Elephas maximus indicus: one gene and its partners. The protein of the gene in region 3 purifies or fractionates together with the protein of the main gene of each other region. This does not show direct contact. Links are inferred from orthologs where the notes say so. Each region holds a gene or a part of one and is shown on either strand. Other genes may lie near its edges. The genes, in order: C1QBP, NAP1L4 and MAGED2.

Region 1 (10,143 bases), on a different chromosome or scaffold from region 3:
ATAAAACCTCTGACGCACCTGGCTTGCTACCTTGGTTGAGGTGACTGGGTGTTTATTACCAGCCTGTGACATGTTAGTAACATTCCCTCACCTGAAAACACTCCAAATGATAATCTCTGACCTCAAACATCTCCCCATTGTGGGAAGAGTTAAGAAGTTTCAAATCCTTCCATCAAGAGAATTTAGGCCAACTTTTGGAGCCTGAGCCTACAGATGGTCATGTATTCAGTACCTGAGAAGGAAAAGGTCCCACATGGCCCCAGTGCCAAAGCTGGCCAGAAACTGCTGCTCTACAAAAGTTCAGGAGGGTTTTCCTTTGCCGTCTTTTTCTGGCATTGAGTCAATTCAGACTCATGACAACCCCATGGTGTAACAGTAGAACTGTGTTCCATAGGGCTTTCAACGGCTATGATTTTTCAGACATAGATCACCAAGCCTTTCTTCCAAGGCTCCTCTGGGTAGACTTGAACCTCCAAATTTTCAGTTAGCAGCTGACAACTTAGCCTTCTGTGCCACTCAAGGCCTTTTAGGAGTTAAAACAAAAAAGGAACTGCTCCTTTGTAGTCTGCCAGAAATCCCAGGGAAAGGCTGGTTACAGTGTTACAAGCTTACCTCTTGTTCTTCAGCCTTCTGCTCTTGTGAGGGCTCCTCCTCCCCACTGAATGTTGGTGGGATGCTATTGTTAATGTTAAAGGTGACAGTGATCCTAGGAGGGCGAAGGAAAACAACAGGCACAGTGTAACGTTAACTTAGTTTAATTCACAAGTATCCAAACCTGCTGTAGCCAGCAGCGCTTGCTGAAACAATGTCTGTACCCTAGCTGGCTATACATCTGAATTATGTGCAGAACTTCCAGAAAAGCCTAGGTACCTACACCCAACCCTGAGAATGATTCAAAAGGCCTCAAGTGCGTCTACTTTGTGCCAGCTGCTGGAAGTCAAACTCATGAGCCCTAGTCCATCATGGCCAAATACAGTCACATGTCGGCTACTTCCAACAGGCCAGCATCCCAGGGCTCACTGCCCAGCTGACACTGCCTGCCCTAGTCTTTCCCCGGCACTTTCCTGATGGAGGTGGGCAGCTGAGAAGTCGGTGCTCCTTTAAGAGCTTTCTCCATCACAAAACCTGCCCCTGGGAGGAAAAGCGAGTGAGCACTGGAGTTACATCAGCTGAGGACCACTTGCAGCCCTAGCCAGGAAGGGGGACTTCACCGGGAACATGCTGCAGGACAGACTCATTCTCCGCTGTGCTGTGGGAGGCCAGGAAACACTTTAGTGAAGCGACAGAACACACAATTCATCTGTGTACAGCTAATGACAATCTGAAGATGCAAGCAAGCACGCTCAGCTGACAATCACATTCCAAAATCTGAGTCAAAGTTCCAGTGATGCTAAATCTGGAAGTAGCAATCCTGGGCTGCACACTCCAGCAGGTACTGTTCCCATTTGCTTTACAGGAAGGACACCTCTCGGCACACACTAATAGGTGCCCCTGGAGTGGTGCTAACTGGCTGCTTTGCCAGGAAGCCATTTTCCCATAGGAACAATGTGGTTTGAGGTTCAACCACAAAATCTACCTCATCTGCAGTAGTGTTAGGCAATAAGCTGAGCTCCTGGGCACACAAATGCATGACATTCGCTGCAGTTTTATTTATAATAGCCAGAAGCTGGTTACGGCTCACTATCCAACTCCGAAGGAAACAGTTTAGGTGAAGTGACAGAACATACAATTGATCTATGTATGGCAAAAAGCAACTATACCCCCAGGCAAAAAAAGAATCAGTAGTCTGCCTCACAGGTATAAATTAACTCAAGACCAATCACCAACCTAAACATAACGGCCAAAACTACATAAAACTCAGAAGAAAACGTAGATATAAATCTTGGTGACCTTGGGTCAGGCCACTAAAAACAGAAGCAAAAAAAGATAAACTGGACTTCATCAACATTAACCTTTTTTATGCTTCAAAGAACACCATCAAAAAAATGAAAATCTAGGGAATGGGAGAAAATATTTGCAAATCATATATCTGAGAAGGGAACTGTATCCAGAATATATGAACACGCAAATCCATAGAGGCAGAGAGTAGATTAGTGGTTACTAAGGGGAGAGACGTCGGATGGGGAGTGACTGCCAATGGGTTTGGCTTTTTTGGGGGGGGGTGGGGCAGGGTGGTGGTGAAAATGTTCTGGAATTAGGTAGCGGTGATCAAGGCACAACTTTGTGAATGCTAAAAGCCACTGAGCTGTATACTCTGGGGAAGAAACCAGAAGACCCTAAATGTTTAGCCGTAAAGTGGGATTAAGGATGACTACATACTGCAGAAAAAGAATTTAACAGTTAGGAATGGGGAGGAGCTGAACTAGGTCAAAAGCTGCCCACCTGTGAGTGCAGCCCTTACTATATTGTCACCCAATCCTGTTACCTATAAATTACATATCTTACTTTTTCACCTACTGTAAACATTCAGAGAGCAAAGTGCCTGGCTTTACTCAGACACAGAGCCAGCCCGGCAGGTTATTAGTCAGCACCGTAAACCAGAGATCACTGACTGTTTTAACAGGAATATAAGAATTTCTGATTTTGCAGGCCTAAATTTAGACAGGGCATGGTCTCTCCACCAGCAAAGGTTTACTGCAGACTGCCTTTACTGGGCCAATAGACTTCCAGTCACACGCTTTTGTTCCACTTCCTTACTGTCTCCTTTGTAACCAGCCCACAGCAAATTTGTGTCCAGTGAATGACCTGAAACTTAGGAACTTGTCCAGATGCACCCTTCTCTTTCTCTTGAAAGTTATGTATCAAATTACCTGCCTTAAACTCAAGGCTGTTCTGGAGTAGGCCCAGGGCAGCTCTTGCAGGGTCCTGGATTTGGCCCCTGGAGTTCCCAAGCACTGAGCCTGGTACTTACTTTTCCCCAGCAACTTTCCGCACTAATTTAGCTTCTGTCCCATTCACTTCCAGCTCCCAGCCTCCAGACATCTTGGGGAGGGACTTATGTTTCTGGATTTTCTTCTCCTCCTTAATTTCATCATTCAGGAACTCAACAAATGCTTTGTCTCCTAAAATGAGAAACCAGATGACACAGAAAAAAAAAGTCAATCAGTCTAAAAGCATCAAACAATGACCCAGGTTACTGCAGCCAGATATCTGGACTTGGGCTGTCTCTAATGTCTTTGCTATCGACGGTTGCTCTGGGAATTTAGTCCAATTCACTTCCTTAAGCCTCATTTGTAAAAATTCCATAACGGTCTCCGTGGGAAGCTGAATTCGAGTCTGGAGAAGTGATTTCCAACAATCTCATGACCACGTTTCGCCACAAAGCAAAGAACGCCCGACTACCTTCCTGAACTTGTCAACCGACATAACCATGCTGCTTTCAACCACAGCCCTCGGCCTTCCTAAAGCTCAGTTTTCGCGGGACTCAGGATAAAGGCGGCGCCCAGGGCTTAATGCTCGCTCTCCCGGGTGGGGTGCGGGAACGTGCTGCCACGTGAGCTCAGCCACCCGTGCAGCTCATCAGTGGACAGAACGCTCGGCGCTCCGGGAGGCGGCTCCAGCAGCAGGCTCCCGGCCTACACTCGCCCTCCCCCTCCCCGGGCCCCCGGAGCCCCCCATGTCGGCCCCGGATCCGGCCCCACCTTCAGTGTGCAGCCCACCGCAGCCGCAGCCGCAGGGCCCGCGGGGCCGCAGGAGGCCGGGCCGCCGCTCCGAGCCCGCGCGCACGCTGAGCAGCCCGAAGGGCCGGGCGCAGGGCTGGGGCGCCGGCTGCAGCAGCCGCCGGAGCGGCGGGAAGGGCGCGGCGGCGCGGAGGCCGCCCACGGCGGAGCCCAGGGCGCGGGGCGCGCAGCGCAGTAGGGGCAGCATCACCGACGCGGAAGCTGCGGCGCGACACGTGCCGATGCGAAGGACAACTGGGGCCAAGGGGCCCCCGGACCCAGCGCGCCGCCGGAAGTACCGCCTTCGCACGGGAAGCGCTTCCCGCGTCGCCGCTTTAAAGGTCGAAAGGCTCGTGGGCCGTGCAGCGCCCCCTTCTGACGGCCTCCGGTTCTGAGTCGACCTGAGTAACGTCCAAGTCTGTATAAATGGCCAGCATAAGTTGTGGCCCGCGGATGCTAGACTCTCCGAGTTTCCATCTACTGTTTTCAAAGCGCGACAGGACTAATAGGACTTCGTGAACACCCCAACTCCGAAGTCACCTCCTTTAAGAGGCCTTCCTGGTACCTCATCCTCCCTCCCACCAGATGGTTAACTCATGCCCGTGCGCCCACAGCCCGTGGCTTCACTTTTCCTTCCGCAGACACCTCCTGGTACTGCTGATGGACCTGGCCGCCTCCCCTCACTCCCGCGGGCCAGGGTCTGTGCCCTCCCTCCAGCCTCGCACCCAAGCTCTGAACATCATTGTTCTGGAGCAAGAAGCTATGGTTTGTATCAGATTCAGGTTAGGAATCACCCACGGGATGTATAAAGTACCGAGAAAGTATGTCTTCCCAAATTAGTGAGAAAGATTAAGACTAATTACTTGGTATATTCTAAACAACCGTCCGTAAATAGGGAAAGGAGACCCAAGAAAGAAGCCACACACATCATGTACAAGGTTGATTTTTAATGGACTTGATAGTCATGTGCAAATTTAAGCATTACATATGCAAGAGCTGATGTTTCTATAGAGCTGTTTGAGCAAGACCAGACTCAAAATGCAACATAAACCCAAACCATTTTTTTTCTGACTCGTTTTTTTGCAAGTTACAATATTCTGATCAAATAAAATAGAATAAAATTCTTGTTTTGAAGCAAGCAGAGTTGGGGATCTCATACCACCAAGAAAGCACCACGAGAGTGTCGTTTGGACCTGGGGTCACTGCGCCTGAGAAGCTCCTCAACCATGTGAAGATCGAGGACGAGGACCTTCCTCCGGAGCCAACAGAGAGAGAGAAAACCTTCCCCTGGAGCCGACACCCTGAATTTGGACTTTTAGCCTACTATACTGCAAGAAAATTAACTTTCTTTGTTAAAGCCAAAAAAAAAAAAAATTCTTGTTTCCCCACAGGTGCGGTATTTCCTTGTATGTTTAAGGAATGGTATCTGGCCAATTTCAAGCAGTTCCTGGTAGCTGGATTGAACAAATTTACCAGTCACAGTACGTAACGAGTTTTACCCCAGAGCAAATGTTTGCCTCTGTCCGGCTACCTTGCTAAAACCAGCACAGATGCAACGTCAAGGTTCTTTGCTGCCCCCTCAGGACCCACTGTTTGCAGTGCTTTCCCTTGTAGTGAAACCTTTCTCACTTCGGATGTCTCACAGTTTATGACCAAGAAGAAGGCCTGAGGGTGCGAAACGCTGGGAGTGCATTTATTTACATGCCGCTGCTCAGGGGAGCTAGTGACTAGTCCAGATGTGGATTTCACTGGGTGGAAAAGAAGTCTCGCATCATCAGAGATTTTATCAATTGAAAAAAGTCCCTCAGGACGATACTGCAACATCATTGTGAAGCATTTTAACTTTCTTAAGAAAGTCTAAGTTTAAAGCATACTACTCCCTGCAGCTCAATAAAAATAACCATTTCTTTCTTTGTAGTAATACATAGGAGTCAGAATGGGTTTTCCAATCTGATTTAATCCCTGAGCAACCAGGTTAAAAGTTTTAACATCTTAAAAAGCACGATAAAAACCTAAATATTAAAACTCTACCAGAATGTTAGTGATAAAAGTATTTCTATACAGAAACGTTAAAGCTACTCAGAGGCGATTTATACTCCCTTACCCCTTACTCCCACTCGGAAAACGGTATTTCTGGAAAACTTTCAGGTACTTAAGCTGGACATTATCTACATAAAGTTTTGCGTGAATCAGAGAACACCTCTAGTTAGATAATATGCTGAGAAATATAATAAATCACCCTACCCCTAATTTTTTACCATCATGATGAATGTTTTATTAGAAATATAATGTTTTCTTTTACCAAGTCAGGCTAAACACCCTCCTGCCTGCTGGCACTCTATAAAATACATGGGAAAAAAAAATTTTTTTTTTTCAGAAAGTTAGCAATGGTAAAAGCAAGTAGTTCTGAGGAAGAGCTAGCTAAAAATTGTGTCTCTTAGCTGCGGTCAAGTCGGCCCCCAACTCACGGGGACCCCCTGCCCAACAGGACTGGCCTGTTGTGACCCGTAGTGTTTCACTGGCTGATTTTCGGCAGTGGATCACCAGGCCTTTCCTCCTAGTCTGCCTTAGTCTGGAAGCTCTGCTGAAACCTGTTTAGCATCACAGCAACATGTAAGCCTCAACTGACAGGTGAGTGGTAGCTGCACTTGAGGTGCATTGGCCAGGAATCGAACCTGGGTCTCTCACATGGAAGGTGAGAATTCTACCACTGAACCACCACTGCCCTCAGCTACAAGTCTAAGAACGCAGTGAGACAGGGTGTACAGGATCTGTCAAATTCTGTTTGGTGTAAATGTAGCTATTTCTAATAGAAATAAGTCGCAGGTGCCCCGACAGCCCCTGAACACAGGTTAAATGCTTGAATGCTCAAGGGTGGAGCCGGTGTCATAGAAACTGATCTGGCCTTCACGTGCACAACTGGGGACAATGTGGGACTGAGGCACTCCGTTGGGCGTGGTCTCACGGAAGAGTTCCTTGACCCAGACTGAAGAGACTGTCCGCTGTCTTTGAAGAAGATTCTAGGCACAGTTTGGCCCCATGCCTGTAAACTGCATGATTCACTTTGCGATTTTAAGAAATGACCAAATTCTGCACAGATGTGTTTAGACCAATGAAGCACAATTAAAGAGCTTCTTCCAGGACCGAACATTCTCTGGGGAAAGATTATTTGCTTTTGATAACTGCATACCTAAGAAGAACCTTTGGTGTCTTCTCCCTTCTCAAAACATGGGAACAGGAAGACTGTGCAGGTCTTCCAATTCCCTCTGATAAATGTGGAAAGTGAGGGCAGGAGTGGGTAACAGGCACAGTTAAGAAGTGGCAAAGCCAGATTGTCCCCAAGTGCCTAAGAAGAAGGAAAAAGATGACAGAAAATAAATAAGCAGCAAGGAATATAAAGCCAAGATGTGGACGGGATGAGCCAATGCCCTCTGGGTTCTCATTGGCCTGCAGCTACACCACCGCCACCCAGGTTCTCGGAGTAAGGGGTCCTGCCAGAAGAGAAATGGCTGAGGTATAGCCCAGAGCCATTCCTTATGGTGACATGCTTATATGAGCCCAGTCAGAGAGAAAAAAGACAACTGGGTATGCTGGGAGCCATTATACTAAAAAGTCAGTTTCTGACGTCTATACTTACAGGATTCAAAAGATACAAATCAACCTTAGCTCAGGAAGCTGAAATGTCTCCTAAGAGCACTGACAGGAGACATGTACTACAGAGGCACCAAAGATGGAGACTTCCTGGAGCAGACGCAGCCTGGCGACCTGGGGGCACTCCCTTACCGGTCTCTGTGGAGACAGCAAGAGGGAGGCCATACCCTGGGCAGTGGGGGGCCACTGGGGGCAGCCATCCCATGAGGTCAGAGACAAAAGCACCTCCCTCTGGAGACTTCTACAGAAGTCAGTTTCTTATGTTTTCTATTTTAAAACTTCAGATAGAAATTAAAGTAGATCTAAGGACAACATCCAAGCTCTGTGACCTCCTACGGCCCCTCTCGGAGTGTCCCCCTCACGGTCATAAGAACTCATGGAATTTTGTTGTACTCAATTCCCATCATGTAAAAAGCAATAATGGCTCACAATTTATTGTATGTCTATTGTGTCTGTCGTGTGTGAGACACAGCTCTAGGTACTTTCCACTCATTTTCCCCTAACTTCATGACCTGGACCCTGAGAGGAAGTATTATCATCATCATCCCCACTTGGCAGATGAGGAAACTGAGGCTCAGAAATTAACTAAGTCGCCCAAAGTCAGCTAGCAAGAACCAAAAGCATAACTTTGAAGTTTACGAAGTATAAATGGCCTGTATACTTTCTACATGGTAGAGTCATAAAAGTGTAAACAAAGACGCCTCCAAGCTCCTGGAAGCTGGGTGCACCAGCTCTATGAAACTCATGTCTCTCTTAGCGCCGGCCTAAGAGACTGCTAGGAGGACAGATGTGAGCCAAGCTCCCAGGCAAGCAGCAATTCTGGCAGCGACTGGGGTGGCTCAGTTCCTGGCGGTTCTCAGCTTCCTCCGGAAGTACTCAGGGGCAGCCTCGTACAGCCACTCAGCATCCACGACGCAGAGGTCTCGCATGTAGCACTTGTTGGTGTAGAGCAGCTCGGTGTACACGACGCAGGCCGGCTTGCAGTGGAAGAGGACAGACGAGGGGTGGATGGCCACTGGCTGGTGGGTGTCTGTGGTGGCATAGGTGCCGTCCGGCTGAAGTTCCGCGGTGCTCATGAAGAGGCTGTGTGCCAGGCAGCGACGGATGCTCTCCGTGTTTCCTCGGGATGACACAACCGGCACTGACATCTGTTTCAGGAGAAAGCAAGAAATGGAAAAGATCTCACATGTAAACCCTGCTCACCACAACATGGTGTAACAATGCAAAAAAAAAATTTAAAAACCAGGGTGCACACACACACATACACAGAGATAGGTGCACACACATAGAGACAGGTGCACACACATACGCAAATGCACACACATACATACAGAGAGATAGGTGTGCACACACACAGAGATAGGTGCACACACACATACACAGAGACAGATGCACAAACACGTACACAGAAAAAAAGTCCAGTAGAAGCTACTCCAACCTTAACAGTGGTTAGCCCTGGAAGGGCAGGACTATGGGAGACTTTCAAACTTCTTGCATTATTTGTCACTATTTTCTGCATTGTTTAACAAATACTTAACAAATACTCATTTGCTTTTATAATCTAAAAAAATAATATATTCCCACTAAAAAAATTCTTATGAAGCATTTTAATAATAGTGGAAAAACACTTCATAAAAGCATTTATAAAAGCTGAGTACCAAAAAAAAAAAAAGCTGAATAAGGATTATACATAAATGTAACTACATGAAAAAAAAAATGCACTTAAACAACATGGCTATCAAGAAAGAAACCAAAATAGTGAGATGTGGAATTGTGGGTAATTTTTACTTTCTTCCTTATTTTCCAATTTTCCCACAGTGGTAACTACTTTCATAATCACTAACAATAAACAATTAAAAAAAAATCCTACCTAGAAAAAAGTGACAGCTTAGTCCCCCAGGGAATGGCAGGAAAGAACAATACCTTTAAGCAGATATCCCTCAGCTGTGCTCTGACTTCCGCGACCAGCATCATATTCTTGCTGTGGACAAAATTCTCCTTGCACCAGTCCTGAGCAGGACAAAAAGAGATATTACAATCCCCTCACTCCTACAGAGAAAAAATATATACAACCATTTTCGAACACAGTTGAATTCAGAAGGTAGACAGAGAAAATTTCAGGTGCCAGAAATAGAGGAAAGTATGTTTATATTAAAAAGCATGCACCATAATGGAAAATATTAATAATTCGAACTAAAGTAAAACTAAAAATGCCCTTATGTCAAAAGTCACCATGGAAAGGGCTACAGACTAGGAGAAAATATTTGCATCACCACACCCAATAAGGGATTAGTACCTCCAGAATATACAAAAAACTCCTACAAATCAGTAAGAAAAAGACCAACAATCCAACAGAAAAACAGACAAAGGACATGAAGAGCCAACTACAGAAGAGGAACTATTAATGGCCAATACACAAATGTAAGGACCCTTGATCTCTTGAGGAATCTTGACAACAGTTTAAAATAACTGAGGTATTATTTCACATCCATCAACTTGGCAGAATTAAAGTCATCTTGCCTGAGAGTCGGAGGGGCCAGTGGAAATGGGAACTCTCATACATTACTTTGGGGAGTATAAAAGGTGTTAGCAACACTGGCGAGCCACGCGGCCAGCCTGGTAAAGCTCAGACCCAGCGGCTTCACTCCCAGAGGCTGGCCCCAGAGAAATTCTCTCCATGCGCAGAAGGAGGCATGTATGGACGTTCACTGCAGCATGGAAGTGGAAGCAAGCTGCAAAAGGACAGTATAAGAAAATACTTAAATAGTATGTAACATGCATGGATATAAAGTAAAAGTGTATCACCCACGGGGAACGTACACACCAATCTCAG
Region 2 (9,946 bases), on a different chromosome or scaffold from region 3:
TCTTACCCCAATGTTTAAAGGGCCTGTCATCTGGTCTGGTCAGTACGGTTTTCTTTCCCTCTCCACCCTATTTAAAACTGCAGCTGCCCAAGGTCCCGTTCCTTCTCACCACTTTTTTCCCACCATCTAACTTGCCAGAATCTCCCCGACAGAAACGTCTGCTCCAGGAGGGCAAGCCTGTCTGCTTTGTTCAGTGCCGCAGCAGCCCAGGACCTAGAGCCGTGCCAGCACGTGGAAGGCCCAGGAACACTTGCTGACTCAGTGAAAAAAAGACACAAAACACTCCCAGTAACAGTGGAGTGAACAACCAACATCTTCTCAAGGGTAGTACTCGTTCCCACGCGTGTACAACTGAAACACCTTTAGTCCCAACAGCTCACAGCACAGACCTGTGAGAGCAGATCTAAGGCTACAGAGTGAGTGGTCCAGATCAGCAAGGAAAAGTTCGCGCACAAAGCCATCTTCTGTCATGTTCATACTGCAAAAATCCATCGTCTCTCCTGCTACTAAAGGCTCAGGAAATTTCAAACTCAATGGCAAACAAAGTAAAACAACCCTGCTTACAACTTAATTGAGCAGACGAAAAATCAACGACTCTCAAAACAATTAAATCTACATTATGACGAACCATTTTTTAAAAATTTCAGAATGGTCAAAAGCCTTCACTATCCATAAAAGTTTTCCACATACCCTGTGCTCAACAGGAAGGAGATGCTACAAAGTCATCCCAGACACTTCAACTGTAGTTTAGGCAGGCAGAGGGCACAACCACCATTTACTGTTAAACCGTGTACGAGGTGTCGGCGCAGGAGGCAGACCAGGTGAGAGCCAGTTCCTGCAATGATTCTGCATCAGCCACTTTCTGCTCCTGAAGTCACCACAGCTGTGCAAGAGTCAAACCAATTATCAGCCTCTTATTTTTTTTTTTATTCAAAGTAAGAGCTTTAAATAAATAAAATAAAAGGGGAAGCACTCCTTTGACAGCAACACTAGGCCACCTGCTCCAAGCAGTCCGCCTGCCTGCCTGAAGCCCCACACTTCACGCGGCCTCCAGTCCTTGGGGAACTTAAATCATCCTCTCGTTCACAAAGTGTCTGTCTTAGAAAACAAAAAAACCTAGGTTCCCTGGCAAAATCTAAGTGCACCATAAACATACCCAACAGTTTTTAAACTGATAAAGGAAGTGCATACACCCAAAGGAAGATAAGAAAGAAAAGCAACTTTAAAAATAAATAATTCTGAACTCTATTTACACATTGGTATTTGTATTTCAACCCCAATAGTCAGTCAGAGAAATGCAGATACAGGAGACCAATATGCTCTCTACAATAAACGGTTGTAAAAACCCTGACAGGTTAATGAAAATACTTAAGCCAAAGTTTCAAGTACAAACTCCAGGCTGCAATGTGGTGCTAAACACATTCTATCTTGAAAATATCTCCACAGAAGCATGAACTAACTCACACAGATAAAAATCTCTAAGCTCAAAACACTAGAGAATCTGATAATCTAAATGGCCAGTTCGCAAAATCAAAATGCCCTCCACGTTTTCAGAGGACCACTTACTAGTATTAAAAATCCTTTTCAGGATTCAGCGTAATGAGCGTATCAAACCTGAGAATGGTCAAATCAGCTCTGACAAGGAATTCAATTTCCCAATCGTTACTCTGTATGAGTTATGAAAAACAGTGCAGGGCTCAAGGCTTGTAAGACAAAATGTAGAGCAGATGTGTTCAGATGCCATCTCGTGATACGCTCGTGGAGATAACCTGCTGACACTCCGCATCAGTAACACCGATCAACTAGGAAAAAACAGGCTGCAAACACCCTATGGCACAGGAACTACTGAACTCGGCAGGGCAACGCTCAAACAATTCATAAAATCGTACCATGAGAAGAGGCCTTAAGATTCTGGTGAAAATGCCCCCAGGCAAACTTGAGAAGGCTGCACTCCCTATACCTGTTTCATCTGTAAAACGAGTCCCTTTTTGTCACTATAATTCTATACAAGTTTAACTTTTGCAGTAGCGTTTTTACTGACCAAAAAGGTATTACTTTTAAGATTCTCTCAAATCTCAGAAAAATAGGGTAATTTACCTCCAAAAAATGAAAGTCTTTTTCTAGTCCCCAAACAAGGAAGCAGCTAATAAACTGAGGAAACTCATTTTCTAGGGCTTCTTTCTCTTCCCAACTCCACTTCAACAAGTGAGCTAGATAACTGATTTTTAAACCATCTCCCCGGTCTTTATTTTTAGTCACTCACTTAATCTTTGGAATATTTCCCTACTTTATCACCACTGTCCTTCCCTCCTTTGAAGTTCATTTTACATTTGCCTATCAGTTATTCCTCTAACAACTGCTAATCCCAATCTGAAATCTCCAGATTCTACCACGGGAAGCATTTCGTACTCTGTGGATCTTTCTGGAAAACAAGAACCAGCGCAAATCCTCATAATCCAGGCTTCAGTTAGGTTTAGCTCACCAATGGGGACCTAATTCTCCATTAAAACGCCTTTCCTTCCCTTTAGGAAAGCGGTACATCTGGGCAAAGTTAAAAATCGAAACTCAACAAACCCAGTGGAGGTATCCAGGTGAGATCAAACACAGCTTCTGGAGAAAAATTGCCTGGGTATTAATCCAAGGTCTCTCAACTTGGACAAGTCACTAAACCTAACCTCACTGGTTAATTGAACAGGAAAAAAAATAGAAGCCATCTTACAGGCCACTAGGAAATGAACTAACATGCAAAAGAGTGGAGAGCAGCCCCTGGCATATGATAAACACTAGTCATGAGAAGTTATCACTACGTCAAGGGCAGTAACTTTAAAATACCTCCTAAACAGCAGAGCTAAGAACTTACCCTGTGTACCCGTTCAGCTTTAATACAGAAGTTTCCACAAGCCTGTTTCTACACAGTACACTAAGTACAGGCAGATGAAAAGAGACTCCTAGGGCTGTGAAGCTGGGAAAGTGACTCGGCGTGGGTAGGTGACCCAAAGCCTGGCCAGATACGTCCTAAGCTACGTTGGATCACAGAGTCCTTTGAGATCGGGGAGAGAACGATGGACCTTCTTGCCAGACACATGAACATTCACCCACACATGTCAAGTGGCACAATTCGGGGGGTCTGAAGGTTTTGAATGCGGGAATGAAAATTTCTGACACTAAGCACCTCCGCCTCCCTTATCTCGATCAGACTTGCGATGCTACTGCCGAGTTAAGGAGAAGGATGGAAGGTGGAAGGAAGACCTCGTCCCAACCAGGCAATCCTTGGCTGCCGTGAACAGGAAGCACTCAATAAAAAAAGGAAGAGATTATTTAAAAAAAAAAAAAAGTTACTTAATCGGTAAAAACATACACCTGTGTAGTACTAACCCCCTTTGGGCAACGTCAGAGTCATTCCCAGACCCTCTGTGCACGGCAAGTGGAACCTTCCCATCCAGGGCGTCTAAGCCTTGCTCGACTCCTCCTCTTTTCCTCGGGAGGAAACATCTTCTCTCCTAAAGGATGGGTTCAACCCCTAAAGCAGACCTGACGCCTGCGATGCCGGGGTAACTGAAGCGCCACCGACCGTCCTCGGGGCACCCGCCTAAGGCGCCTGAGCCCGCGGCCTTCCCAGCAGAGCACGTGTTGCCCAGCACCCCGTTTCTGCCGCCCAGCACCCCGTTTCTGCCGCCCAGCTCCCCGCGGCAGCTGACCAACACCACCGAGATCTGCGCCTGTCGTCGAGCGGCCCCAGCCCACCAGGCGCTCGGAAACGAAGCTCCGCCGTTAGCCCGCCTCCAGCCACCCGGGCCCGGGCCGCACCAGCCCGCGGGGAAGCCCACGCTCGGGAAGCGAAGTCCCGAACGCGGCCTCTCGACCGCCGGGGAGCCTCGAGCCGCTGCCCGGCCCCGCCCGGCCTCGGGGCCGGCACGTGAGGCGGCCGCGCTGGCGGGAGATTTGACCGCACCAGCTCCGGGCGGGAAGCGGCCCCGAGGCCCTCACCTTCCCCAAGGGCACCGTCGGCGGAGCGGGAGCCGCGCGGCCACCGCGGACCCGGCCGGAGCCAGACGACCAGGCCGCTGACCTTCAGGGCCGGCGGCGGCGGGGGAGGGGAGGCCCGGCCCGCGGTCCCGGCGGCGCTCGGCCGCGGCCGCCTCCAGGCAGGAGGCCGCGGGCCCCGCCCCTGGCCCCGAGCCGCGCGGCCCCCACAGACGGCGCCCGCGGCCGGCCCGCCGCGCCCTTCTCCCGCCCGCCGCCCTGCCGGCTCCCGCCCCCGGCAGCACCGTTACCCGGCCAGGCCCGCACCCCGCGGCTCCACACCTCACGCCTTCTGCGGCAGTGGCGGCGGCTGCGGCGGCTCCTCTCGCTCCGGCTGCAGCGCCGCCGTGGCCGCCAATAACGCAGCGCCCCATTGGCCGAACCGCCACCCGGGCACCTCCCTCCAGAAGCAAGACGGGCTGCGATTGGGCCAGAGCTGCGCATGTCAACCGCACCTCGGCGAGGCCGAAGGAGACCAATCAGAGGCGGCAGAGCGGGCGCCGCGCTTGGACTGCGCGAGCCGTATGCAAATGAGACGCGTGACCGCGCCCCGGCCGCGCGCGGCGCTCCTCTCGCCGGTTTAAAGTGTCGGCGCCGCGGAGCACGTGGGCGGCTGGGGCGCCCCCGGGCCTCCACCTCCTCGGGCGGCTCCACCGGGCGTCCTGCTCCGCCCGTGCGCAGCCCGCGCTCCGACGCCTCTCCCGCCCCTTTCACGGGACTGGCACCGCCCCTCCCAGAAAACGGGATGGCGTCCACCCGTCACACGTGGTCCGCGCCCCGTGGGCCCGCGCCCTACCGCGCCGCCCTCCGCCGCCGCCATCCCTCGGATCTGCCGCCCACCCTGTCCCTCCCCACGTGTTTCCACCCGGCCTCCTAGCTCGTGATTCCGCCCCCTCCCCCGCGCCCCTGCTCGTGCAGCCCCTTCCTGTAGTCGCCTGGCTCATCCCGCCGTCAGAGCTCCGCAGGGGGCGTCCCCTTCCCCCGGGACCCTGTCTCATCACTCCATTCTTGGGGTCCAGTTACCGTTCAGGGCCCAGGCGACAGGTCACCTCCTGCGGGACCCCAGGCCGGGTGGAGGCCCATTCTGCACCTGCAACAGTGGGGACTGCCTACTTCGTGTTGGGGGTGGGGGGCGGTCTGCACCCCAACCCCTCTTGTGCTTTGGGCTCCTGGGCACAGCCTACCCCCCCCCGGGCACAGCCTGCCCCCCCAGGGCACAGCCTGCCCCCCCCCAGGGCACAGCCTGCCCCCCCCAGGGCACAGCCTGCCCCCCCCCAGGGCACAGCCTGCCCCCCCCAGGGCACAGCCTGCCCCCCCCCAGGGCACAGCCTGCCCCCCCCCCAGGGCACAGCCTGCCCCCCCCCCCAGGGCACAGCCTGCCCCCCCCCCCAGGGCACAGCCTACCAGAGCAAAGCGAGGTGGGCTCTCTGAGGGGCCCCTGGCGCTCCAGGAAGCTGTGGGGTATAGGTAGGGGTGACCCTCCTCACCTTGCCCTATCCAGTTCTCTCCAGCCTGTGGCTGGGTTGGGACTGGGGTCACGAACCCCACACTCTCAGAATCACAGTTTGTGGAGAAACACTGAGCTAAAACCAACGTGGGCAGGATGACGATGTGGTTGGAAAATGTAAGTCCCAGCTGCCAACTATTTGCTTGCGACTGGCTTATCTCCTCATCTCTGGGCTCTCCAGTGTGGCTGTGGGTCTTTAACTATTCTTGCCCATCTTTCCAGAAATTTTTCCTTGGGTGGGGTTGCTTTGGAAAAAAAAAAAAATGAATTTTTTTCCTCCTTTTTTTTCACCAAATCTTTCCTAACCTGTGCTGTTTACAACAGGGAAAAAGAAGAGACCCTGTAAAGGCTCTGAGTTGGGAGGTTGTTAAGGACATGATGTAGGTTAAAAACCTCAGAGTGACCAGCTCCTGCCTTTGGTGTGACCACACATGTGAGCTTGGCTCAGCTGTTCTGAGTGTTGGGGGTGGAGGGGGAGTGTCCCAATTCCTATCTGCCTTATTTGGATTTTCTGACTTGTCTGAAATAACCCTACTTTACTTTTTTGGGGAAAAAAAAGCATAAACAGCTGAGGAAACTACAAAAGAAAAGAACCTAAGCCTTTTCAAGTTTCCTTCTATTGAATAAAATTTCAAATCCATTTAAAGCCTTCAGGTCTGTCTGAGCCTGAATTTTGGGGGGAGGCGGTGGTGGGTGATGATCCCCAAAGAAGCCGTGAGGGCGTGGAGGCATCGAGGTGGTTAGAGCCACCTCGGAGCTGGCCCTCGGAGCCGGTGGGAGCCAGGGTAAGGGGGCTCACATGGGCAGCTGGGCCTGTTCCTTGGGGATTCTGTAAGTGGAGCAGCTGTGAGTAGGGGCTTCTCCCTGGGGTCACTCCAGAGGTTTGAAGCTCTCTGTTGTAGTGTCCTGTGCAGGCTGAGGCAGTTATAAAATGGGGGCACTGCCTACTTCACCACCCACCCATCTGTCAGTCTGTCATACTGTGGTGGCTTTCATGTTGCTGAGATGCTGGAAGCTATGCCACCAGGTGGGCAGGTTTCAGCGAAGTTGACAGAGTAAGACAGACCAGGAGGAAAGGCCTGGTGATCTACTTCTGAAAATTAGCCAATAAAAGCCTTATGGATCACAGCAGAATATTGTCCAATCCAGAGCTGGAAGATGAGCTCCTCGGCTGGGAGGCCCTCACGATACACAGTGGCTGCAGCAATGGACTCCAGCGTACCAGTGATCTTGAAGATGGCACAGGACCAGGCAATGTTTCAGTCTGTTGTGCGTGGGGGTACCATGAGTCAGAGCCGATCTGACAGCAACAACACTGAGCTTTGCGGGTGGGAGAGAGTTAGAACAACATTGAACCAGTGGTCAGTGTGATGGGGGTATGGGCTGTTGTCAGTATCTCGCCGCCTCTGTGGGTGGCCTGGAAAGAGGAAGTGAGAGAAGGGGGCTAAGCACCGAGAGCACAGGCTTGAGGTCAGGGCTACAGCCGGGTCTTTCTCTAAACCAGCTCCGAGGCCCTGCTCAAGCCAGTGCCATGTGACTCTCAGCCTGGATGGCGCCCCTCAAGCTCTCTGTTCAGGACCAGTGCTGTCCAGGGTTGACCTGTGCGGCAGGAGCAGAGACTACCAGGGCCTGCCCAGCCAAGGGCATTCCTGGAGCCAGAGGGGCAGAGCCCTGGGTGTGTTTGTGCCCTTGTGCTCCCTGGAGAGAGCAGACCAGCCCGGGTGGGGGTGGGAAGGTCTCGGTGTCCAGGCTGCAGGGGTCCATGCCCCCAGCCCTTGTGGGTTTGAAGGAAGGCCCCATGAGCCTGAGCATGCACCTTTTGGGATTATGAATGGTATCAACATTCTCTGAGCCCACATCGTCCCTTCCTCCTGCCACTGGGGTCCAGCTGGATGGCCATCTCCCCTCAGAGGCCCTCCCGGCCCCTCCCAGCTATGGCCACATCCCCCTGCCTGCTGCTTTCTTGGCCCCTGTTCACCGATGATTGCCCCTGCCCCACCACTAGCAGGAGAGCCTTGGCCAGCTTCCGGAGGAAGTGATGTTCTCGCTGACACTGAGAACCAGGAGGAGAGGCCCAGCAGGGCCAGGGAAGGCGCAGTGTTTAGGGCCAGGCACCTGTGGAGGCCTGGGGGGAGGGAGCAGCACAGTACACCCCAGGAAACACAGATAGCTCAGGGTGGTGTGTGTACCTAAAGAGAGCCCTCTGGGGAGCCCTCCAGGGAGGTGAGGCCAGAGCAGGTAGCAGGGACAGAGATTCACAGTGGGAAGGGGCAGGCAGAGTCTCAGCACCCTCCCCTGCAGGCAGGAATGAGATGCGGGTGCCCTGCTCCAGACCAGGATCAGAGTGGCTGTCAGCAGGATGCCCTGACACCACCCTGAGTCCTCCTGGCCTGGGTCTGGCACCTCTCAGTGGTCTTGGTCCTTCAGCAGTGTGATGGTTAAGATCATGTGTCAACTTGGCTGGGCCATGATTCTCAGTGTTTTGGCAGTCATGTAATGTTGTGATCACTTCCCCGTTGAGATTTGATATGTGGTCACCGCCATGATGGGATCTGCTGTGAATAGCTAATCAGTTGGAAGGGAGTTTTCTTGGGCGTGTGGCCTGCACTGAATATAAGCGAACATTCTGGCAGGGCTCAGGGTCTGCTTGCTCTGGATCCTGCGGCTGGGTCCTGTTCATCTGACCTCCGGTTCTTGGGACTTGAACAAGCAGCTTACCTGCAGTCTTGCCTCCCGATCCTGGGATTCATTGATGTTCCCGGCCTGTGAGCAAGAACCCTGCACTCTGATCTGCCAATCTTGGGTTCAACAGTCCCTGCGGCTACTTGGATCAGGAGACGTCTCTATCCTGACCTGCAGACTTGGGATGTTCCAGCCTCTACAACCCCGTGAGCCGTTTCCTTGATACAAATCTCTCTCTATGTATATTTATGCGCTTTACTGGTTTTGCTTCTCTAGAAAACCCAGCCTATGACAAGCAGAAACAGACATGAGAACCCAGGCATCGGCCTCACATGGAGCAGCCCTCTGGAACCTGCAAAGGACCTGTCTGTGTGGGTTGAACTGTGTCCCGCAGAAGAAACGTTGAAGTCCTAACCCTGCACCTGTAAATGTGACCATATTTGGAGAACAGGGTCTTTGCAGATGTGGTCCGTTAATGAGGTCATACCACAGTAGGGTGGGTCCTGGCCCTCTATGACTGGAGGGTCCTGAGAGAACAGACGTGGAGATAGGGTCACATACAGAAGGAAGACAGACGCCATGTGACGACGGAGGCAGATATATTCATAAGCTGCAAAAGATGCCAAAGATCACTGGCAGCCACCAGAAAATGGAGTGCCGTCTCCCTGGCCCATGGTCATCCATGGCCCTGTCCCAGGGGAGTCACTATGGGGCATAGGGGTGTAGACCACACCAGGTGACACTGTCAGAGGGGGTGACTCCAAAATGACTGTCTATAAAATTTCCGTACAGTGTTTCAGCTTTTATTATTTTTTATAAAAGCATCTCTGTAGTTATAATAACAAAAACATTTTTTGTTAACCCAGCTTACGTGTATCAATATACCCACAAGGCTAAAACTCTATGCTAATTTACTTTTTGAATCTTCTGATGTGTTCTGGTCAGAGCTGTCATTATTATCCAACTACAATGATGCTTCGAATCACGTGGTTTCGTCTGCACACACTGCTGATTTTGTTGCTGCGTGTTTTTATGTTGTTGTTGTTAGGTGCCGTGGAATCAGTTCTGACTCACAGTGACCCTACGGCCAACCGAACGAACGAAACACTGCCTGACCCTACGCCATCCTCACAATTGTTGCTATGCTTGAGCCCATTGTTGCAGCCACTATGTGAATCCATCTCACTGAGGGTCTTCCTCTTTTTGACTGACCCTCTATTTTACCAAGCATGATGTCCCCCAGGGATTGGTCCCTCCTGATAATGTGTCCAAAGTATGTAAGACGCGGTCTCGCCATCCTTGCCTCTAAGGAGCATTCTGACTGCACTTCTTCCAAGACAGATTTGTTTGGTCTTTTGGCAGTCCATGGTATATTCAATATTCTTCGCCAACACCACAATTCAAAGGCATCAACTCTTCTTCGGTCTTCCTTATTCATTGTCCAGCTCTCACATGCATATGATGCGATTGAAAATACCATGGCTTGGGTCAGGGGCACCTTAGTCTTCAGGGTGACATCTTTGCTCTTCAACACTTTGAAGAGGTCCTTTGCAGCAGATTTACCCAACGCAATGCGTCTTTCGATTTCTTGACTGCTGCTTCCATGGCTGTTGATTGTGGATCCAAGTAAAACGAAATCCTTGACAACTTCAGTCTTTTCTCCATTTATCATGATGGTGCTCATTGGTCCAGTTGTGAGGATTTTTCTTTTCTTTATGTTGAGGTGTAATCCAT
Region 3 (9,643 bases):
AAGAGGATGTGGGGAGAGAGGACAGGACAGGTGCAGTACCAAGGACAAAACTCCCCCTCCCACCTCATCCCCTTCAGCTTACGTTCCCAGTATGCCTGCATCAGTGGGTTCTAGTGTGCTGAGGAGAATGTACAAGTGGTCATTCTTATCAATTTCCTTCAACTGGATTCCAAATACCTGTGGATGGGGAGAACAGCTTGTGAGGTCACATAAGTCAGCCTCCTGGGTATCCCAAGGCTCCCGGTGTTCCTAGAGGTTTGTGTGTGGCGGGGGGTGGGGGGGGTGGGGTGGGGGGGTGGGTGTGTATGAGGGGGAGAGAGAGAGATCAGTAATACACTGCATATAAAGCACTAAGCTAACTGCCTGGCACATAACAAACATGAAATAAATATACCATTGTTATTACCATCATCTTTGTGATTAGTGGGAATCTAGGGACACAGAAAATGGGGAATGGAAGGGAGAGGTGAACATCTGGAACACATTATAGGGCATGTCCAGCAGTGGACAGAAGTTAGGGCTAGTTGAGTGGTTTGGGTCCTAGCTGTGCTTTTACCACTGACTTGCTGTGTCATCTATGGCTCATCTATACCCCTCCATAGGCCAGCCTGACCATCTGCACGCTGGATTAGCGAGTCTCTGTGATCCCTTCCATAAGGGACACGTGTACCTTTGTTAATTCAAGGTTTCTCCACTGTGCCCACCCCCCAGGGCTGCCCCTTCACCTTCTCCAAGGAATAGCCTGCTCGTTCAATGATTTCAGGGTACACATCAGTGTATTCTTTGATGATGTCCTTCAGCATATCTGCAAGGGGAGAGTGTTACAAGCACCTGGGCTCAAGAAAAGCCAGGAAGCCCCCCATGCCCAAGCTATAGGCCCTTTACCAACGCTGCTGTGGGTGGCATAGCCAGGGTTCTGGGCTAATGAATAAAGATGCTAACACGGACAAATTAGGACTTTGGGAGCACAGCCGTAGGAACATAAGAGCAAGGATTATCCCTAGCACATGGAAGGGAGGGCAAAGGAGGGCAGAGCTTGGGGTTGGGGAGGAAATAAGCAGGACTCTACCTGAGCGTTTGATAGGAATCTTCGTCTGGTCTTTAACCAGCAGGTACTTTACCAAATCATTTGCCTAGGAAAGATGATGGGAAGAACAGTATATGTTGGCAAAATATTTAAAAGCATGCCACAGAAGAAAACAGGTAAGGTAGTGGAAAAGGCGTAGTGGAGAGGACAAGAGTTCTTACCCTCCCTTGCAAAAGGGCCACATCCCGAGGCGGTGGTGCTTCAGGTTCTTGGGATGACTGGAGCTTGGCAGCTCTACGGCGAACCTTGCCCCTACGGGCCTTAGGTGACCTCAGAGAGAGCAAGGCTCTACGGGCCCAAGCAGCCAACCGAGTCCTTGAAGCCCTGCGAGCCCAAAAGGCTATGGGGCCCCTTGAGGCCCTGCGGGCCATTGAGGCCATTAGGGCCTTTGAAACCCTTCGGCCACCTGTGTTTCCAGATGTTTGACTCTGGTCACTGCTGCCATCCTCTTCCCCATTCAGGTGCTTCACCTGCATCAACAAAGAAGAGGCTCGACATGACTAAGTGGAGCAGATGGTCCTTTTTCTTCGCCCTCTCTTTCAGGAAGCCCCCTTAATCCCACCCCTGTAGTAATGCCCTGACTCACTAGCCATTTGTTACCCTGTCTCGTAGGCTTGTCTTTCACTGTCTTCCAGGCAGTTTTATCTCCCAACCAGGCCAGAAACAACCCAAGGGTGGGGCTTGAGGCTTCTTCTCTTCCTGTGTTCATTACTAGCTCTGCTTGCATCACTCTGGACAAATCACTTCACCTCTGTGGGAGGCAGATTCCTTCTCTTTAAAACTGTGATTATGATCCCTAGCTGGTAAGATCTACTTTCAAGATTTAATGAGATAACCTGTATGAACGTGCCTAGCTCAAGGCCTAACTTATGTTTGCTACTAGGTAAATATAAACTAAATTACGTTCAGACTGCAGCTCTGCATATTCATGTGTCATCTTCCCACCAGTCTGTGAGCTCTCTGAAGACAAGAATTATATCACATTCCTCTCAGTATGCCCTACGGCTTTGATGAACACAGGCAACTTAGTAACTCTGGAAAGGCAAGGGTAGTGATTGCAGAGCTCTTACCTTTCTGGCTTTCTTGGCCTTGACCTTGGGCCGAGTATCCTGATTCTCCTGAGTCTCAGTAGCTGTACCCTTAGGCTCAGGTTCATCTGTGGGAGCCTGAGAAGCAGCAACCTCTGTCTCCAGGGACTTTGTACTGACCTGGGTATTAGCCACACAACTGACTTTTTTGGTCTTAGTGGCAGGCATTGGCACACCCTGCAGGTCAGCATTCTGCATCTTGGTGTCAGCTGCTGGACTGCTGTTTTCAGCTACCAGAACCTGGGTATCAGTCAGCTGAGGGGTAGGTGAGGTATGGGTGACAGCTGCCTCCTGAGCCTCTTGGGCCTTTGAGACCACTGTGGCCTTTGAGACCTCTATGGCCTTTGAACCCCCTGGAGCATTTGAGACCTTTAGGCGCTGTGAGACCCCTGGTGTCTTTGAGGCCTTGGGTGCCTCTGAGACCTCCAAATTCTGGGTCACTGCCAGTAGAGTCTGCATCACCAAGCTGCTGTCCTCTTCTGAAGCTTCAGCCTGCAAAAAGAGGAAGCAGGGAAGCTCACAGATCTCCTCCCCACCCTCAACTAGGCAAATGGCTCCAAAATTCCATAGCCGCACTTCTGTGACCTGTACTAACTCCTACCTGCAATGTTCTCTGACCACCTCAGCCCACCAAGGCCTCCTCTGAGCAGGAACTGACTACCAAAGAAGGGAGGACCCTCCCTCCCTTTCTCCACTGGGGGAGAGATGGGAGAGGACAGAGCCCAGGCAGGGAAGTGCATGGAGAAGAACAAGGATGGGACTGGAGAGGCCAAGGAATTTGGGACAGCAACAAGGGATGGAGAAGGAAGCTGGGAAGAGGTCAGAGAGCTTACCTGGAAGCGGGTTAGATCTGCACCACTCTCACTTGTGTCAGACATGTCTCAAGTTGGCCTGGCAAGAGCTGAGCCTGAAGGGGAGAAGGCCTGGGTCAAGGGGAGCTCCCAAAGAACACTGAACATCCTCTCCCCTATTCTGCCTGGAGGCTGATCCTCACCTTCTTTGGACTCCAATCCCAAGTCTCCCCCCTCCACCACCCCTCCAACGGCTCCATTCTCATACACAGGAATCCAGAGCGTCTAAGGTCTTAACTCTCTACAACCGCACCCTCCCCTTCTCCAGAAGATGTGCCAGCGCGGCAGCTCTGAGGACCCCGCCCCTTTTCCCAAAGCAACCCGAGACGAACGTGAAGGTCGATAGTGCGCATGCTAGTGCGCATGCGTGTCTGCAGCTGGGCCCATTTCAGCCCCGCCCGCTTTCCCTACATAAGCCCTTTCTTCGAAGTCCACCCCGCACATGCGCATTCAGCAGCTGGCGCTTCCCCGTGCAGGCCCTTCTCTACACGCCCCTTTCTAGAGATCCATACTACACATGCGCATCGTTCACCGTCTCAGTCCAGCACCCTTCCCAACACACGCCCCTCTTCAGGTCCACAGTACCATTTGGCCCGCTCCTTCCCCAGCAAGTCTCCCTCCGAACTATCACAGAGCCTGGTGATCCTAGCCCCTACCCAACTCACACCCCCTTCACCAACAGTGCCTCCAGGTCCCGCCCCTTTCCATAAAACGTCCCCCCCAACTCTAGCAAAGCGCATTTTGTTTCCGCCCCTTCCCTAATACACCCCCTCCTCAAATAAGTATTAGTGATTCTATCTTGGGCCCAGCCAAATTGGATCAGTCCCCTCCTTTACCAGACGGATCCGGTATGATCCGTTCCTTACGGCAGGTTTTCTCCAGCTCCCAGAGAGTAAGGCCAACCCTTACCGGCTCTGATCCAAAGCTGGACCCCCTGCTCACCTCTTTCTCCTACAACCTACGAGTGCGTCCGCTCTCTCCAAGCCCCTCCGAAACTCGGAGACTGCCCTCCCTCCTCCTTGCCGGAAGTGGACCCGCCCCTTTCCGCCTCCCTAGGGGGCTTCCGTCCCAGCCTGTCTGCCCCTCCCCCGGTCCTCATTCTTAATTCTCCCCCTCCGCTTTGCTCTGTATTCCTTATTCCCCCATCGCATTTTTCTGTTGCCCCACCAAATTCCCTATTCCCATTTCGTACATCCTCCTCCTCCTTACTTAACGTGCTCCCCCCCCCCATTATTCCCTAACCCCTCTCGGCATCTCTTCTCTGGATCTACATTCCCCCTCGGTATTCCCCTCCCCCTCATATCCCGGGTCCCCAACCCAAGATGCCGGATTCCCCGTTTTTCTCCCCTCTCGTCGCTGCTTCCCAGTCCACACAGCCTATTACTCTCTCAGTCGTCCTTGTTGCCTACATCCCACTCTCTCCCAGGGTCATCTCTCCCCCAGCTGCAGGGGTGCAGTAAGAATTGCCCACCTGCCTGGCTATGGAGAGGACCGGAATTACAGTCTGGCTACCAGGGAACCCCAATCCCAACGCCTCTCACCTTGTCCTCCGCGAGTCTGGGATGCGTCTGCTCTCCCTCAGTCCCTCTCGAAGTCTCAGCCTCCTGGACTAGAGCTGCAGCAAGCACAGCCCAGCCCCTTTCCGCAGCCCCCTGCCACCCTCCCCCACTTCGCCCTCCTGGAGGTGGGGCAATGGGGCCCGGTTCAGGGCTGTCTCACGCCAAAGCGCGTCTTTATGCCACTGTACGGTGCTTGGTCTGAAGCCCTTCCAACCAAAACCACCCCTCAGAGCAATTAATTCATTGAATTAATTTATTTTTATATCTTTATTTTCTTTTATTACAAAGGTAATGCGTTGTGAAAATTCAAATAATGCAGAAATATGTAATATACCAGTGAATAACTGTCCACATCGTATCCCCTAGAAATAACCACTATTGACGTTTTGATATACATTCCCCCAGATTTTTTTCTATTCATATACTAATTATTTGAGTTCTCTCCCCACAAATAGTACACTATACCTACTGTTGTGACCTGTTTTTTTTTCTAGCTACATAGTCTGAACATCTTTCCGTGTTACTACACATTTTTCTTAGAACAATTGTATAATCTTTTCTTGTATAGGTGTCTCCTAATTTATTTAACCAGTCCACTATGCATGGACATTTAAATTGTTTCCTTTTTTTTTTTTACTATTACAAACAAGGCTACAAAGAACATCCTTATATGTGTATATTTCTGCAATTGTGCTTGTATCTGTAGGATAAATTTATAGAAGTGGAATTGTTAAGTCAAATGCTAGAAAAAAAAAGGTTTCCATTTTGATACAAGATTTGCAGCCTTGTTCCCCAAATGGATTAAACTGAATAATAGTCCCAACAACACTATCATGTTTCTATGTCATATATATTACAAATATTTGGTTATTTACGGTATTTTTTAACTCAAGTCCTACAAAAAAGTCTTCCATTTTAATATAATTTGTCAACTTACTCCCAAAAAGATTCATGAAATAATATTCCCATGAACAATAATTCTTATATGTTTATGTGTCACATATATAACAAATATTTTCATGTTATTTATGATAATTTTTGCTGTATAAAAGGGTTTAATTATGTAGTCAAATATATCAGTTTTTTTCCTGATCACATCTAGGTTCTTCATTGTGCTTAGAGATGCTATCTACACTTCTATATTATAAATCTTTGTTTTTTCCAAGTACTTTTCATGGCCTTATTATTTACATTTATGTTTCATCATTCCAAAATTTGTTTTAGTATGAGGAGTGAGGTAGGGATTCCACTTTATTATTTTACACAGTCGTAATCCCTTATCCCCACACCATATGCAAACTAATCCATCTTTTACCCTACTGATTTGAAATGACGATTTTACCATATTAATTTCACATAAGTCTTTTAAAGGGAACAAAATAAGATGTGTAAATAATGGAAAATAGACAAAACTATCCTTAGTGACAGATTATATGAATGCCTACCTGGAAAACCCAAAAGTATCAACTAAAAACTATTAGAAATAATAATAAAATTCAGCACAGTGGTCAGTTACGGAAACAATATTCAATACCTTTCCTACATCCATATGTAATTCAAATGGCTACAAGTCCTTATGCTTTATGAAGTCACTGTTTCCTTTACTAAACAATATCATGAGTTCCTATGATCTATGGATAATTCAACACACACACAAACACATTTCCCAAGAATTCAAGGTGGGCCTCTCTTTTCCTGTCTTCTTTCTCTTTGAATTGCTGCTTCCTCCAAGTTTGTCATATCAGCTCATAACTTTCATGCCTCCTAGGTTCTCTCCCTTATCCACATAGCTTTATTTCACACAGGCACAACCCCTCCTTTTCTTCCAGTTCTGGCTCCCCCAAATTCCCATCTTTTCCCAATCATGGCAAGCCTTGAATGCCAGGGTAAGGACTTTGATCTTGATCCTGACAGCCCAGAGGGGTTATTGAAGAGTTCTAGGAATCAATGGAGTCCCTGGGTGGTGCAAACGGTTAACGCACTTGGCTGCTAACAGAAACTTTGGAGGTTTGAGTCCCCCCAGAGGTGCCTTGGAAGAAAGCCCTGGGGATCTGCTTCTAAAAAATCAGCCATTGAAAACCCTATGGAGAACAGTTCTGACACACATGTGGTCACCATGAGTTGGAATCAACTCAGCAACGGGTTAGGCATGGATATGACATAGATTTATGTTTTAGAAAGAAGACCCTAGCTGCTGTATGGAGTATGGATTAGATGTCTTCCTGGAAACAGGGAGAGCAGTTAGGACCTTTGCAGTCATCCAAGTGAGCAATGATTGTGACTTGGCCTAGAGTGGTAGCAGTGGAGGTAGTGAGAAGAGATTGAATCAAGAAGATACTACACAAATAAAAAAAGCAACTAGGCTTGGTATGGAGAGAGGGGTGAGGAGGGGGAAGGTGTCAAAGAGGACTCTTGGGGATCTGATTTGAGAAACTGGATGGTAATCCCTTTCACTGAGACATAGAATGCTGAAGGAGGAATGGAATGAGTTTAAGAGGAACTGAACATTGATTCTGAGGTACCTGTTGGACATCCAGGTGGAAATGTTCCACAGTCCATTGAATATACGTGTCTGAAGCTCAGGAGAGATGTCTGGGCTGAGGTTATAGATGTAGGCATCATCAATATATGAATGGCACTTTAATTCATGGGAAGGGAAAGAGCAACCAGGAGGAATTTGTAGTGTTAGAAGAGATGGGGCCCAGAGAAGGGCCCTGGAGACCAGCTGTATCTATGCTATCAAAAAACCGAACAAAACCCATTGCCATCAAGAAGATTCCAACTCATGGAGATCCTATAGGATAGAGTAGAACTGCCCCATAGGGTTTCCAAGGAGCAGTTGGTGGATTTGACTGCCAACATTTTGGTTAGCAGCCATAGCTCTTAACCACTACGCCGTCTAAGGAAAATGGTAAACCAATAACACCGCATTCCTGGAGGGACTGCAGAGATTACTGCCACCATCCACTTAAAAGTTGCAGGGGTGGTGATTTCCACGACATCCCCTTTCAAGTATTCGGCCTGTGCAAAAAACAGATGGATCTTGGAGAATGACAGTTGTACAGCACAGTATAGCAACCAATTTAAAATTGAACATCAGACTTTCCTGTTGCAGAAATTTCCTCAACCGTTCCCACCATTGTTCCTTCTCCTTGAGCCCCACCCGTCATTCCTGTTGAGCCCTTTTTCTCCCCCAACATACTTCTCAGTTCCCCTCCTTTCCATGTCCAGTCTCTCCCTTGAGCTGCTGGTGGAATCTCAGCTTTTTCCTTCCTTTTATATGCAAAGCAATTTAATTCATTTTGTATCACTCTAAGCCCTGAGGGCAACTTTCCACAACCGTAATGGCTCCATTTTGTTAAATAAAAGCTAAATTTTCCATAAATGAGGAAATCTGCCACCCACTTTTTGGACTAACACACATCTTCCCTGCTCTTTGTACATTGACTCATTCCTCAGAACAATCTTGTAAGGTGTTGTTGTTGTTAGATGTCATCGAGTCAGTTCCGACTCATAGCGACCCTATGCACAACAGAACAAAACATCACCCGGTCCTGCACCATCCTCACAATCGTTGCTATGCTTGAGCCCATTGTTGTAGCCACTGTATTAATTCATCTTGTTGAGGGTCTTACTCTCTTTCTTTGACCCTCTACTTTACCAAGCATGATGTCCTTCTCCAGGGACTGATCCATCCTAATAACATGTCCAAAGGGCGTGAGATGAAGTCTTGTCATCCTTGCTTCCAAGGAACATTCTGGCTGTACTTCTTCTAAGACATATTTCTTTGCTCTCCTGGCAGTTCATGGTGTATTAAATATTCTTTGCCAACATCATAATTCAAAGACATTAACTCTTCTTCTGTCTTCCTTTTTCATTTCCAGCTTTTGCATGCATCTGAGGCAATTGAAAATACCGTGGCTTGGGTCAGGCACACCTTAGCCCTCAAAGTGACATCTTTGCTTTTTAACATCGTAAAGAAGTCTTTTGCAGATTTGCCCAATGCAATTTGTAATTTGATTTCTTGATTACTGCTCTCATATGCTCTCATGGGTGTTGATTGTAGATCGAAGTAAAATGAAATCCTTGACAACTTCAATCTTTTCTCCGTTTATCATGATGTGGCTTATTGGTCCAGTTGTGAGGATTTTTGTTTTCTTTATGTTGAGGTGCAATCCATACTGGAGGCTGTAATGTTTGATCTCCATCAGCAACTGCTTCAAGTCCTCTTAGCTTTCCACAAGCAAGGCTGTGTCATCTGCATATCAAAGGTTGTTAATTAATCTTCCTCCAACCCTGATGTGGAGTTCTTCAGATAGTCCAGCTTTCTCAGATTATTTGCTCAGCATGCAGACTGAATAAGTATGGTGAAAGGATATAACCCTGACACACAACTTTCCTGATTTTAAACCCTGCAACATGCCCTTGTTCTGTTCAAATGACTGCCTCTTGGTCTACGTACAGACTCCTCATGAGCACAATTAAGTGTTCTGGAATTCCCATTTTTTGCAATATTATTGTGATTTGTTATGATCTACACAGTCAAATGCCTCTGCATAGTCAATAAAACACTGGTAAATATCTTTCTGGTATTTTCTGCTTCCAGACAAGATCCAGCTGAGATTAGAAATGATGTCCATCATTCCTCATCTGCTTCTGAATCCAGCTTGAATTTCTGTCAGTTCCCTGTCGGTGTACTGCTGCAACTGTTTTTGAATTATCTTCATTAAAAATTTACTTCTGTGCAGTGTTAATGACATTGTTCAATAATTTCCACATTCTGTTGGATCATCTTTCTTTGGAATGGGCACAAATATGGGTCTTTTCCTGTTGGTTGGCCAGATAGCTGTCTTACAAATTTCTTGGCATAAATGAGTGAGCACTTCCAGCACTACATCCATTTGTTGAAACATCTCAATTGGTAAGCCATCAGTTCCTGGAGACTTCTTTTTAGCCGATGCCTTCAGTGCAGCTTGGACTTCTTCCTTCTATACCACCGGTCCTTGATCGTATGCTACTTCCTGAAATGGTTGAGTGTTGACCAATTCCTTTTGGTAC

Evidence for each region.
Region 1: the proteins of MAGED2 (region 3) and C1QBP purify together in Homo sapiens (affinity purification with mass spectrometry; 3 studies listed by BioGRID and IntAct, counting the BioPlex papers as one, with this or other methods). This does not show direct contact. The link is inferred for Elephas maximus indicus from reciprocal best matches to the Homo sapiens genes MAGED2 and C1QBP.
Region 2: the proteins of MAGED2 (region 3) and NAP1L4 purify together in Homo sapiens (affinity purification with mass spectrometry; 3 studies listed by BioGRID and IntAct, counting the BioPlex papers as one, with this or other methods). This does not show direct contact. The link is inferred for Elephas maximus indicus from reciprocal best matches to the Homo sapiens genes MAGED2 and NAP1L4.

Annotation. Positions count from the first base shown.
Region 1 is NC_064837.1:15,102,925-15,113,067, forward strand, and holds the start of C1QBP (complement component 1 Q subcomponent-binding protein, mitochondrial), read right to left. Parts: upstream 3,957-10,143; 5' UTR 3,868-3,956; coding exon 3,642-3,867; intron 3,063-3,641; coding exon 2,912-3,062; intron 707-2,911; coding exon 613-706; intron 1-612. Other genes in the region: ATP-dependent RNA helicase DHX33, read right to left, coding at 8,150-8,458, 9,234-9,320.
Region 2 is NC_064825.1:134,918,666-134,928,611, reverse strand, and holds the start of NAP1L4 (nucleosome assembly protein 1-like 4), read right to left. Parts: upstream 4,387-9,946; 5' UTR 4,275-4,386; intron 1-4,274. UniProt on the Homo sapiens protein: Acts as a histone chaperone in nucleosome assembly.
Region 3 is NC_064846.1:113,000,628-113,010,270, forward strand, and holds the start of MAGED2 (melanoma-associated antigen D2), read right to left. Parts: upstream 4,660-9,643; 5' UTR 4,568-4,659; intron 4,056-4,567; exon of another isoform or gene 3,969-4,055; intron 3,942-3,968; exon of another isoform or gene 3,863-3,941; intron 3,276-3,862; exon of another isoform or gene 3,170-3,275; intron 3,083-3,169; 5' UTR 3,054-3,082; coding exon 3,009-3,053; intron 2,668-3,008; coding exon 2,158-2,667; intron 1,558-2,157; coding exon 1,249-1,557; intron 1,134-1,248; coding exon 1,070-1,133; intron 806-1,069; coding exon 726-805; intron 178-725; coding exon 83-177; intron 1-82. UniProt on the Homo sapiens protein: Regulates the expression, localization to the plasma membrane and function of the sodium chloride cotransporters SLC12A1 and SLC12A3, two key components of salt reabsorption in the distal renal tubule.